3 linked regions of the Macaca mulatta genome follow. The protein of the gene in region 1 binds, or shares a complex with, the protein of each later gene. Links are inferred from orthologs where the notes say so. Each region holds a gene or a part of one and is shown on either strand. Other genes may lie near its edges.

Region 1 (4,177 bases):
TAAACTCAAGGGCCCTGCACCAGTAGCGAGGGGGCCCAACTGAGAGGACATGGAGCCCTCACCCTGAGGATGTTGCTTTGGAAGAGGATGCCTGGGTGGTGCAATTACCTCGTGGCATACTGAGATGGGGATTCGTGCATCCTGCATTCATTGGGAAACAAAATGAATTTCTCGGAGAGACAGGGCTTTGCAAAATGTAAAGCGCTGCAGGAAGCAACATACATGGAAAGGTCAGGAAAGAGAGCCGATCTGTTTGCTGAGTGTGGGCTGTACTTCTAAACGCGGCCAAAGTCGATGCGCAGCCCCTGGAGGTGGCACAGTTTGGGGACCCCTTGGATAGGCGTGCACTCGGGGAGGCTGGGAAGCCAGAGAGGAATGGGCCAAAGTTTCTTCGGGTATCTGCAGAACCCAGGACCGCCCGCACAGCTTGCCTCTTCTCTTCCCGCCCCTGGCCTGCACGCGTGAAATCTGCAAATTCCCCTTTCAACTGCTGCACGCGCTCGTTCAACTTCGCCCTGGCTAGAATCGGGATAACCGTCCCGATGATTATATAACTTTCCGAGTTCAGGAAAGAGAAATCCAAGGGAGAGAAATGATGAAATTTTCTTTATGGACGGATTTTTTACCTCCAAAGTAAAGTTACAGAAGTGCACAAAAAATATATATACAAATACCCATACACCCACCACTCACAAAGAGTAACTTACATTTTGACTTATCTCGAAGAGGGTTTTTTCTTTTTAGTTACCAAATAAACCTTTCTCTTCTCCCAAGTTCCAGTATATCTTAATCCAAAATAAGTCAACCTTCTTTTATTTATTATTCTCCTTTTCCATCCTCACCCCAGATTTATCTTAAAGGGTAAATTCCAGGACCCCCGAAATCCCTCGGTGAGTTCCCACATGGCCAGGTCTGCAAACATCTAGCCTCAACGTACAAGATCCGGCGATGGCCGCAACCGGCAGTATGCACAGCTGCATTTCCTCCCCCAGCCCCAACTCCCGCATGCAACTTTGCAACTCACTCTCGGGCCCGCTGTCGGGGGCGGGCCTATTTATTCGGCCCGTTTGGCGGAAGGATCCCGCGCGTGGACGCAGTTGCGCTCAACCTCTCCGCCCCGCCCCGCGCCCTGGCCCCGCCCCCTCCCGCGCCCGGGCCCCGCCCCCTCCCGCGCGCCCTATGGCCCATAAAGAAGTCCCGGCCGGGCCGCTGCACTCCCCGCGTGCATCCGTGCGCCGCCCGAGGCTGTCTAAGGAGTCGGCGGCCATTTTGTTCTTCTCGTGGTTCCAGTGGGGAGAGAAGGAGGAAGCAGGGAGCGGGGCGGCAGGGGGGGGACCCGCCGCGGCTGCTGCCACCGCCGCCACCACCGCCTCTGCTCGTGGCGTGGGAAAGGAGGTGTGAGTCCCGGGCGCGAGCCGGCGGCGGCGCCGCTGCGGGAGGGTCGGCGGTGGGAAGGCGATGGCGGATTTAGACAAACTCAACATCGACAGCATCATCCAACGGCTGCTGGAAGGTAAGGGGGGCGGCGGGCGGCTGAAGGGGGAGGCGGGCCCGAGGGCGGCAGGCGGCCCCGGGGGCTCGAGGGAGGGGAGTTGGGAGGCCGGTTGGGCTTGCAGCACCGTGGGAAGTGAGCTTCTCGAGTTGGCCCACGGGCCGGGGGCTGCAGCTGGAGGGAGGCCAGCCTGGGATCCCCAACTTGTCGCCAGCCGCGGACCCTCCAGGCTCCACTCATTCATTGCACGAGGATGCAGGCTTTCTCCCGGCCGTGGAATTTGAAAACTCCGCTCCCCACCCCCATGTTTCCCGCCTCTACCCGTTTGCCCCCGCACACCAGACGGGTCTTTGGAGCGATTGTTGGGCTGGGGGCCCCAGTCCAGCCTCCTGGACGGCGTGCGCCGTACTGTGCGAGATGGACTTTTCGGTGCTCGTCCTCACGGAAGGCAGTTTGATGAGGGCGTGAGTTCCACCGGGTTTGGGGGCTCTTTTCCTGCTTGCTTTTATTTTTCGTGGTTCTGGGGTCTTGGGGGGCCCATTTCTTGTTACTTGGTAACAAGCGTTCATGTCTCAAGAGGTGTGAGAACCTGTCTTCGCCTGCCCTCCAAATCCTTTTAAGTTATTCTAATCTTGGAGAGGTCTCCGCGCTCTTTTCCTGAACGTGCATCTGAACAGGAAGTCAGCAAGGCTGACGGTATCGTTATCTTTCCAATGTGCCAGGCTCTGTCTTGAGCACTTTGCGTCCATGAAATTATTACTGTAATAATCATAACTGGCGCTTCTAAAGGGCTTACTGTGTGTCAAGCATTCTTTGAGCACTTAACACAGATTTCATATTCTCCCACCCATTGCAAGATATTTGCTTTTTTTTTGTTGTTTTTGTTATTTTACAGAAGAAACTGAGATGAAGTCACTTAACCAAGGTCACACAGTTAGTGAATTGGGTTTCAAACCCAGATAGCCAGGAGCTAGTAAAACTCGCTACAGACAACACTGAAGGAAGGGGGCCAGTGGTTTAGTAAAGGTTAATAGAAAGGTTTAAATTTCGGCTCATCTAAGACTGGTGAGGTGCCTGGCAATTGATTCATGTTGATGTGGGAGAGGGGCGAGGTTCAGCTTTTAAAGACGGAAGCTGAAATGAGCTGCTTTCAGATTCAAGGGCATGTCAACAGATGCTAACATCTTATCCAAGACTTTGTAAGAATTCAGTCATACCCCTTAACTTGGACACTTCATAATGGGAACTTGGCAGTTTTAACTGCTTTTTGCCTTTATGTAGTCCTAAAATATTACTGGACTATAAATGCTGTGAGTGGTGGAGTCGAGGGCATGACAGCTCTAGTGTTAGAATTTGCAGATCTTTTAAAGTAAGTTATTAAAATGAAACTCTGAAAATATCTCGTCCTTTTCTTAATCTGTGCATTCTTTCCTTTTATGCTGTCTTTAAAAAAAACACTAAATGTCATTAAGGACCCCTGAAATGCTCTTGAAATGTTATTGCAGGTGAAAACCTTGTGTTGTAGGTGAAAACCTTGTCATTCCTTTAATGTCAGGTATTTATATAAGAACCATATTTTTTCATGCTAGTTAATATAGTTATTTGAGGCAGCAGTTGGTCAGAAACTGATTAAAATAGTTTGCTGTAAGAAAAGAATTTTTTGTTAAATATTTTCTTTCTAAATTTTAAAATTCTGCTTATCTCTGCAGGGATATGTGTGGCTTTATTTCTCTGAGGAAACAGGAAAAGTTGGAATTTGCATGGATTAGAAACATTAGAATTTTAAATCTAATTAAATTAGAATTTTAAGATCATCTAAGGCTTGCTAATTTAAGTTCTGGTTTGCCCATAACTGCCTCTGGATTCATAAATAGCTTTTGTTAATTTTAATCATTACAATCCTAATAAGTAGTTTGCCTAGTAAATAATGATACATCTAAAATGAGATCATTGTTTCTTAATAGTTCCTCTTGTTATATGGCACTTGAAAACCAGGTTTTCTTATATTTCTTTTTTTGCTGAAATTAAGAAAGCAGTGCATTTTAATGCCTTGGGAATAGGCTAACTGCAAAGTATACTTAAATTTCCTTTTTTCTCGTGGGTGTTAAATTGGCAGAGAAACATTTGAAGATGATCCATTGAGGATATGTAGATATCTAAGTTAAATGATGTTGGTAATAAATTCTGTGCTTTACAAGTTTTTTATTTTAAAAAAATTAAATGTAATAATTTAAAATAGAAATGAGAGTCTCACTGTGTTGCCCAGGCTGTTCTCAAACTCCTGGTATCAAGCAGTCCTCCCACCTCGGCCTTCCTGGGTTCTGGGGTTATAGTCATGAGCCACCATGCCCGGCCTGAATTTTGTGCTTTTCGTAATGCCCCCAAAACCTTTTTTTTTTTTCCCCTTAAATGCTTTAAGATGTAAGTATATCTGAAAGTAGAGGCAATATGACTTTTGTGACCTTGGTAGACTTTTTCACGTGTTCAGAATTGATCTTTTAAGCTTGAGAGCAGTATAAGCTAGTTGAGAAGTAGCTCAGTAATAGTACTAAAAAGCTAACTGAAAAGTGAAGTCTTAAGAAAAACAGCATGTTGGTTTAGATCTTAGTCACTAACTTTGCAGTTCTTTTCTTTTCTGAACTCCTGAATGTTTCTGTAAGTAATGGCATCACCTCTGCAACCCAC
Region 2 (4,092 bases), on another chromosome or scaffold:
CAGATGCAGGTATAAATCTGACAAAACACGTAGAAGACCTATGCACTCAAAACTACAAATAAGCTGGGGCACGGTGGCTCACGCCTGTAATCCCAGCACTTTGCGAGGCTGAGGTGGGTGGATCATGAGGTCAGAAGATCGAGACCATCCTGGCCAACATGGCGAAAGCCCATCTCTACTAAAAATACAAAAAAAATTAGCTGGGTGTGGTGATGCGTGCCTGTAATCCCAGCTACTTGGGAGGCTGAGGCAGGAGAATTGCTTGAACCCAGGAGGCAGAGGTTGCAGTGATCCGAGATTGCACCATTGCACTCCACTAGCCTGGTGATAGTGAGACTCTGTCTCAAAAAAAACCAAAAAACCAAGACAAAAAAAACCTACAAATAAAATTGACAAGAGAAATTAAAGAAGACCTAAATAAATAAATAAACAAATGGAAAGAGATACTGTGTTCATGGGTTGGAAGCCTCAACATTGTTAAAATATCAATTCTCCTCAAACAGATCTACAGATTCAACACAATCCCAATCAAAATCTAGGGTTTTAGAATTTAACTGATTCTAAAACTCACACAGAAATACCTTAGGACCTAGACTAGTCAAAATAACTTTGAAAAAGAACAAAGTTGGAGATGTAATGCTACCTGATTTCAAGCATCTCCTAGAGGGTGTGTTAAAACACGGGCTGAGGCCGGGCGCGGTGGCTCAAGCCTGTAATCCCAGCACTTTGGGAGGCCGAGACGGGTGGATCACGAGGTCAGGAGATCGAGACCATCCTGGCTAACACGGTGAAACCCCGTCTCTACTAAAAAATATAAAAAAAAAACTAGCTGGGCGAGGTGGCGGGCGCCTGTGGTCCCAGCTACTCGGGAGGCTGAGGCAGGAGAATGGCGTGAACCCGGGAGGCGGAGCTTGCAGTGAGCTGAGATCTGGCCACTGCACCCCAGCCTGGGCGACAAAGCGAGACTCTGTCTCAACAACAACAACAACAACAACAACAAAAAAAATTTACAATAGCATCAATACAGATGCAGGTATAAATCTGACAAAACACGTAGAAGACCTATGCACTCAAAACTACAAATAAGCTGGGGCACGGTGGCTCACGCCTGTAATCCCAGCACTTTGCGAGGCTGAGGTGGGTGGATCATGAGGTCAGAAGATCGAGACCATCCTGGCCAACATGGCGAAAGCCCATCTCTACTAAAAATACAAAAAAAATTAGCTGGGTGTGGTGATGCGTGCCTGTAATCCCAGCTACTTGGGAGGCTGAGGCAGGAGAATTGCTTGAACCCAGGAGGCAGAGGTTGCAGTGATCCGAGATTGCACCATTGCACTCCACTAGCCTGGTGATAGTGAGACTCTGTCTCAAAAAAAACCAAAAAACCAAGACAAAAAAAACCTACAAATAAAATTGACAAGAGAAATTAAAGAAGACCTAAATAAATAAATAAACAAATGGAAAGAGATACTGTGTTCATGGGTTGGAAGCCTCAACATTGTTAAAATATCAATTCTCCTCAAACAGATCTACAGATTCAACACAATCCCAATCAAAATCTAGGGTTTTAGAATTTAACTGATTCTAAAACTCACACAGAAATACCTTAGGACCTAGACTAGTCAAAATAACTTTGAAAAAGAACAAAGTTGGAGATGTAATGCTACCTGATTTCAAGCATCTCCTAGAGGGTGTGTTAAAACACGGGCTGAGGCCGGGCGCGGTGGCTCAAGCCTGTAATCCCAGCACTTTGGGAGGCCGAGACGGGTGGATCACGAGGTCAGGAGATCGAGACCATCCTGGCTAACACGGTGAAACCCCGTCTCTACTAAAAAATATAAAAAAAAAACTAGCTGGGCGAGGTGGCGGGCGCCTGTGGTCCCAGCTACTCGGGAGGCTGAGGCAGGAGAATGGCGTGAACCCGGGAGGCGGAGCTTGCAGTGAGCCAAGATCCGGCCACTGCACTCCAGCCCCGGCGACAGAGCAAGACTCCGTCTCAAAAAAAAAAAAAAAAAAAAAAAACCACGGGCTGTTGGGCTCACCCTCAGAATTTCCAAATCAGTATGGCCCTGAGAATGTGCATTTCTAATTAGTTTCCTGATGCTGTGGCTGCCGCTGGCCTGGCTGCCACACTTAGAACTAGTAATCCAGACTAATTCACACTCAGCTAGAAACAAAATGTCAGATGCAAGAGATTCCCCCCAAAGGAATATATATACAAGTACCAAGTAAACTATGTTCATTAAGAAACAACGTGCTTTTCCCTCTTTTATTAGCTAAAGACATCCATAACTGTTAATCAGAGATTCTGATCAGCAAGAGAAAACAATCATGTCATTGCTGAGCTGGCATGATTCTAGCCTCCCCTCTTTGTTGAATGCACATTTTGGTTTCCATGAAACCTTGCAAGTCCTCTACGCAGGCCTTCCCTGTTCAGAATTCACCCTGAAAATGACACAGGGCTTTATACCAACCATCCCGTAACAGCAACATTAAGGAAACCACCTTGCCCCGCTGAAACCTGTCAAATGTCCCCGATCCTCCCCATCTACTATCCTACCCAATGCAGGGCTGCCACCCAGGTCTCACCGTCCAAGATGGCCCACTGATTGTCAATCTCTGTATGTTTCAGGTAGGAGTCTTCAATGGTGGGGTCATAGTCAGGCACAAAGATCTTTTGGAAAAACTGGATGGTGAGGGCACTTTTGCCCACGCCCCCATCCCCCACCACCACCAGCTTGTATGTGGGGAGGTTGTCACTGGGGACGGCGCTGGTTGCCATGTTTCTCGAAGGTCAGACCTGCGGAAGGAAGCAAGACGTGTGGAATGAGACAGAGGGCTTTTTAACTTAGGGGAAGATATTCATGTGTCTTCCTCCTTTATAAAGTAAATACTCTCACTTATAAAGAGGTTTGAAAAATGAAGAAATGCAAAAGAAAATAAAAGCATTACACCTGGTCTCACTACCCAGAGACAGTCACTGTTAAAGTGATTTATTCAACCATCATTTATTCAACACCAATTATGTGCCAGGCCCGGTGTTGAGGACACAGTACCACTGGTCTTGTTTAGCAAGTACAGCCAAAAGCCATGTCAAAGAAGCTTTTTGGCCACTAAACTCTACTTGTACAGGTTAACACGAGGGCAGTGGTCTGAGCAGGGCTGGCATGGAGGTTCGTCTTTCACATCCCCTCTTATTAACTGGGTGCTATGCTGAGAAGGATTTGAAGCTGTGTCTTAGCTTAGAAAGCGGGGCATGATAGCTTAGCACACCTGAGTTCTGGGATTCTGAGGCTCCTTCAAAGTTTCAGAGTTCTAGATTCTGGCTCCTTTCTCTCTGCTTCTTGCCCTGTATTATACACAAAGTCATGCTGGAATCTTACGGCTTCTGTTCAACCTCATTTTATTTGGGGAGGAGGCAGGTAGGAGCAGGTCGAAGTTTTGTTTTCATGCTGTTGAGGCCAGCTAAGGCAGTGGTTCTCAATCAGGGGAACTTTGCTCCCCGGGCATATCTGCAACGTCTAGAGATATTTTTTGTTGTTGTCAAAATAGAGTGGGTACCACTGGCATCTGTTCAGCAGAGGCCAGGGATCGTACAATGCACAGGGCAGTCCCCTCCAATGAAGAATCAGCCATCCTAAAATGTCAATAGTGCTGAGGTTGAGGAACCCTGAGCTAAGGTGACCAGGAGGCAGCTGGAAGTGGGACCAGAACTCTAAAGAATAATGGGGCCTTAACAGAAGTGAAGAGTGACCTTTGTAAATAGTGTCCCAAAGTGACAAGGAGGAGAGGCAGGAGGGAGCCTCCTGGAGGTACTCAGAAGGAAAGGAAGGAAACCAGGATCCGTGGTCATGATGGAAGCGAAGAGTTTCCAGAAGGAGGCTGACAGCACCAAATGTTAAACACGGGTGCAGCTAGGGGGATCCCCTAAAGAACAATTTGGGGTTGTAGCCAGGAACCTAAACTGCTAACTAACTGTGGACCCTGCCAGGAAGAAGCAATACCACCTCCTGCTGGGGCATTCCTGGGTGGCACAAAAATGGACCTTGAGTCGAGGGAGGGAAAGCTTGATCCTACTGCTGTGGAGAAGAA
Region 3 (3,508 bases), on another chromosome or scaffold:
CTCTTGTCCATGCCCCCTGTTCCAGCCACAGCAGCCTTGCTGGGCCTCTGCTATGCCAGGTACATCTTTACCTCAGGTCTTTGCACTTGGCTTTGTGTGCATAGTGTCCATTCCTAAATCTGTGTGTGGTTCACCTCGTTCTATTCAGGTGTCTGCTCAGGAGCTCTCTGTTTACCCAAAGCAGTAGCACTTCCTTCCAGCTTATCATACTGTATTCCTCTCTTGCTACATTATTTTCTTTAATAGCATATATTAACTACTTGTTGTGTGTGTGTATATATATATATATATTTAGCTTTTTATTTGAAATAACTAAATTTGTTATCTAGTTGTAAGAAATAATATAAAGAAATCCAGTATTCCCTTCACCTAGTCTCCCCCAGTAGTGACATGTTGCATAGCTACAATATATTAATATCACAACCAGGAAATGGACATTGCTACAATCCACCAACTTGTTTTCAGATTTCACCAGTTTTACATGCACACACTTTTGTGTATGTTTAGTCCATGTGGTTTTATCACGTGTGGATTCATGTGAGCACTGCAGCCAAGCCACAGCGTGCGGTTCTGTCCTGAGGATCCTCATGTTACTCTTCATAGCCACCACTCCTTCCCTCTCCCTCCTTCCTGCTGTGAGATATTATAATCCCTGCTTATTCCGTGCTGGTTGATGGAGTGTGCTCGTCTTTACTTCTTCAGCACCCAGAGGAGTGCCTGCCACATCGTGTATTTCTTAAATGGATCACTTAATCATAAGGCAACGTTCTCCTGTGGGAAGAATTTGGGAAGAAAAGCCATGCCTATTTGGGGCACATGCAGTGTGTTTGTAGTTTGGTGTGATGATCTTTCTCTTCTCGTTCCTGCCACCCTCGAATGTTGACATGCCTGTGACTCTAGCAATAAAATTGCTTATTAGTCAGTGCTTGGCTCAGATTAGTTTTTATGGTCCAAGTAGTAGGTGTCATGAGTAGAAGCACACTAATAGCTTATAGCTGATTCATGATACCTTCTTTCAAACTCTGACTCAGAGATTTCCTGGGGAGCCAAATCCCCATACCCACTTTACCCTTCATAGTCATATTTGAGGTAAAAACTGACCAATGCTGCTTCTTTACCTCCTTTTTTCTTTCCAAATGAAATCCCAGACGTTACTGCCTAATCAGGTTATATTAGGTTTGAATTTCTTCATAGCACGTTATTATCTTTGCAAATACACAATATATTTTTGGTCTAGAACAAACAGATTTAAGAGATCTTCCACCTCTCAAGTTTACATGTTTATCTTGAAGCACTGAAGGTTGCTGACTGTGTAGTGGGCAAAGGATCAAGCGATGCCGTTTCGCCTGACATGTTCACAGCAGAAGTGAGCTCAGACGCAGTCCCTGATGTCAGGTCACCAGCTACTCCAGCGGGCAGGAGGGACCTTTCCACCCCTAAGACCTTTGTACTTCGTTCTGTACTGAAGAAACCCTCTGTTAAGATGTGTCTAGAGAGCTTACAGGTAAGAAGAGAGTTAAATTTCCTAAAGCAAATGAATAAAAATGCATTTTCGTTCAAAGTAATACCCTTGAAATGTCATATTTCATACTAGTTTAAAAGAAAATGTCTTACCTGTCTTATTGTGAATTTTTTTCCTTATCTTTTCTTATTGACAACACTGTGTAGTTTCTTTTTGTTCTTATTTTTTAAAAATTAAATATAGTGTATAGTATGCAGAATTTAATATAAGTAGACTGTAGTTTATAAAGGGTCATAATCTTACATAATCTTATTGCACTAACATTATTGATTTATATAATTATATAAGTGATATTGATTACTTAATCATAATTAATGTGTCAGTCTGTTAAACTGATTATTCCTCCCAAAATATTTGGTCTTAAAAGTACCTCTTATAGCCATCCTTTTTTCTCTAAGCCCACTCAATGTGAGGAAAGAGGAAGTTGATAGGAACTAGCTGGCATTTATTGAGTAGTTTCTATTGATAGTTCTGGCATATATATACAGCAGTAGTGCTCCCAGAAAGGTATAGGACCTGTTTGACATACACTTAGGCTTGTAGGTTGTTAAGTGAACCCAGATAAGTCTGCTGTTAAAATCCGTGACAGGCTGTCAGTCCATGAGAGGTTGAGAGCATAGCCTCAGGAGTCAAAATGCCAAGTTTCAGATCTTGACTTGGAAACGTAGTCACTGAGCAAATTATTTGACCTTTCTGTGCCTGGTTTCCTTATCTATAAAAATGTAAAGTTAGTAACTACTTTTCGAGTAATTTGAGCATTAAATGGGATACTATAAAATCACCACGAGTGTCTGGCACCTCAGAAATACAAATCTTTTTTTCAAACGATAAACATTTTAACATACAAGTATGCCTACAAGCCTATTCTGATCTGTTCTGAAGCCAAAAGGAACTAAATTACCTTCTATTTACGTGGATCATTGATGGTCAGTTGCTATTTATAAAGCTTTAATAATTTTGGTTAAAGAGCTGATTTGTGGCCAGGTACAATAGCTCACACCTGTAATCCCCTGACTTTGGAAGGCCAAGACTGAAGGATCGCTTGAGCCCAGGAGTTTGAGACCAGTCTGGGCCAAAAAAAAAAGCTGGTTTGGATCTGTAATACACACAGCGCTGTTTGTTCATATCTTCTCCTCAAAAAGACAACATCTGAATGATCCGTGGAACTCTTATTTTATAACAATATGACACAGCAAGTATTAAGTTTTGTCATTAGAATCATATGAAAACACAACTGGCCGGACGTAGTGTCTCACGCCTGTAATCCCAGCACTTTGGGAGGCCAAGGCAGGTGGATCACGAGATCAGGAGATAGAGACCGTCCTGGCTGACACAGTGAAACCCTGTCTCTACTAAAAATACAAAAAATTAGCCAGGCGTGGTGGCAGGCGCCTGTAGTCCCAGCTACTCAAGAGGCTGGGGCAGGAGAATGGCTTGAACCTGGGAGGCAGAGCTTGCAGTGAGCCAAGATTGGGCCACTGCACTCCAGCCTGGGCAACAGAGTGAGACTCCGTCTCAAAAAAAAAGGAAAACAAAACATTTACAACTAATGATCTTTATACTAAGATGGCAAAAATTGGGAGGCATATAAATTGTGAGTTGTTTGCTGACTTTTCTGATTGTTTTAGTTAAAAATAAATCTAAAAGTAAACATGAGCTTTGTTGTATAAGTTAACTTATTTTGCAGTATTTGGTATGTGCATTTTCCTGGTCAGAAAAATGAACTGACTTGAGAGACAGATGAAGGAGGTTTATTTGGGGCAAGATTATTTCTTAGAGCAGGTACTGTTCTTAGAATTGGATGTACAGGAGAAAATGAGGAATTCTTGATAACAAGGACTGGTCAGAGGTTTAGGTTGAGGCTAGACGAGTAGGTGGTGATTAAGAGGGAACTTTGATCCAGTCTGTAGGCCTGGCTGTCTCCTGCTGAGCTCCAGGGGCCCTGTGTTTAGGCTTGTTCTGTCTTTTTCTATGGGGCTTACAATA

Evidence for each region.
Region 2: the proteins of PPP1CC (region 1) and MRAS are in contact, whole or in part, in a cryo-EM structure (PDB 7SD0), measured with the Homo sapiens proteins. The link is inferred for Macaca mulatta from reciprocal best matches to the Homo sapiens genes PPP1CC and MRAS. Residues at the interface, in NP_002701.1 of Homo sapiens: Pro178, Asp179, Gln181, Gln185, Arg188, Ile189, Met190, Thr193, Asp194, Pro196, Gln198, Leu201, Trp216; in NP_001078518.1 of Homo sapiens: Ala5, Ile31, Gln35, Lys36, Ile37, Val39, Asp41, Glu47, Asp48, Ser49, Leu51, Lys52, His53.
Region 3: the proteins of PPP1CC (region 1) and CDCA2 are in contact, whole or in part, in a crystal structure (PDB 5INB), measured with the Homo sapiens proteins. The link is inferred for Macaca mulatta from reciprocal best matches to the Homo sapiens genes PPP1CC and CDCA2. Residues at the interface, in NP_002701.1 of Homo sapiens: Arg20, Gly21, Ser22, Pro24, Lys60, Tyr70, Asp71, Leu73, Arg74, Glu77, Tyr78, Asp166, Lys168, Ile169, Asp242, Leu243, Tyr255, Phe257, Arg261, Pro270, Asn271, Ser284, Asp286, Glu287, Thr288, Leu289, Met290, Cys291, Ser292, Phe293; in NP_689775.2 of Homo sapiens: Lys391, Arg392, Val393, Thr394, Phe395, Gly396, Asp398, Leu399, Ser400, Pro401, Glu402, Val403, Phe404, Asp405, Glu406, Ser407, Leu408, Pro409, Ala410, Asn411, Pro413, Leu414, Gly417, Gly418, Thr419, Pro420, Val421, Cys422.

Annotation. Positions count from the first base shown.
Region 1 is NC_133416.1:117,922,745-117,926,921, reverse strand, and holds the start of PPP1CC (serine/threonine-protein phosphatase PP1-gamma catalytic subunit), read left to right. Parts: upstream 1-1,375; 5' UTR 1,376-1,458; coding exon 1,459-1,513; intron 1,514-4,177. UniProt on the Homo sapiens protein: Protein phosphatase that associates with over 200 regulatory proteins to form highly specific holoenzymes which dephosphorylate hundreds of biological targets.
Region 2 is NC_133407.1:41,369,386-41,373,477, reverse strand, and holds the start of MRAS (ras-related protein M-Ras), read right to left. Parts: upstream 2,801-4,092; 5' UTR 2,783-2,800; coding exon 2,590-2,782; intron 1-2,589. UniProt on the Homo sapiens protein: Signal transducer in the Ras-MAPK signaling pathway that regulates cell proliferation and survival. Core component of the SHOC2-MRAS-PP1c (SMP) holophosphatase complex that regulates the MAPK pathway activation.
Region 3 is NC_133413.1:27,225,984-27,229,491, forward strand, and holds part of CDCA2 (cell division cycle-associated protein 2), read left to right. Parts: intron 1-1,292; coding exon 1,293-1,504; intron 1,505-3,508. UniProt on the Homo sapiens protein: Regulator of chromosome structure during mitosis required for condensin-depleted chromosomes to retain their compact architecture through anaphase.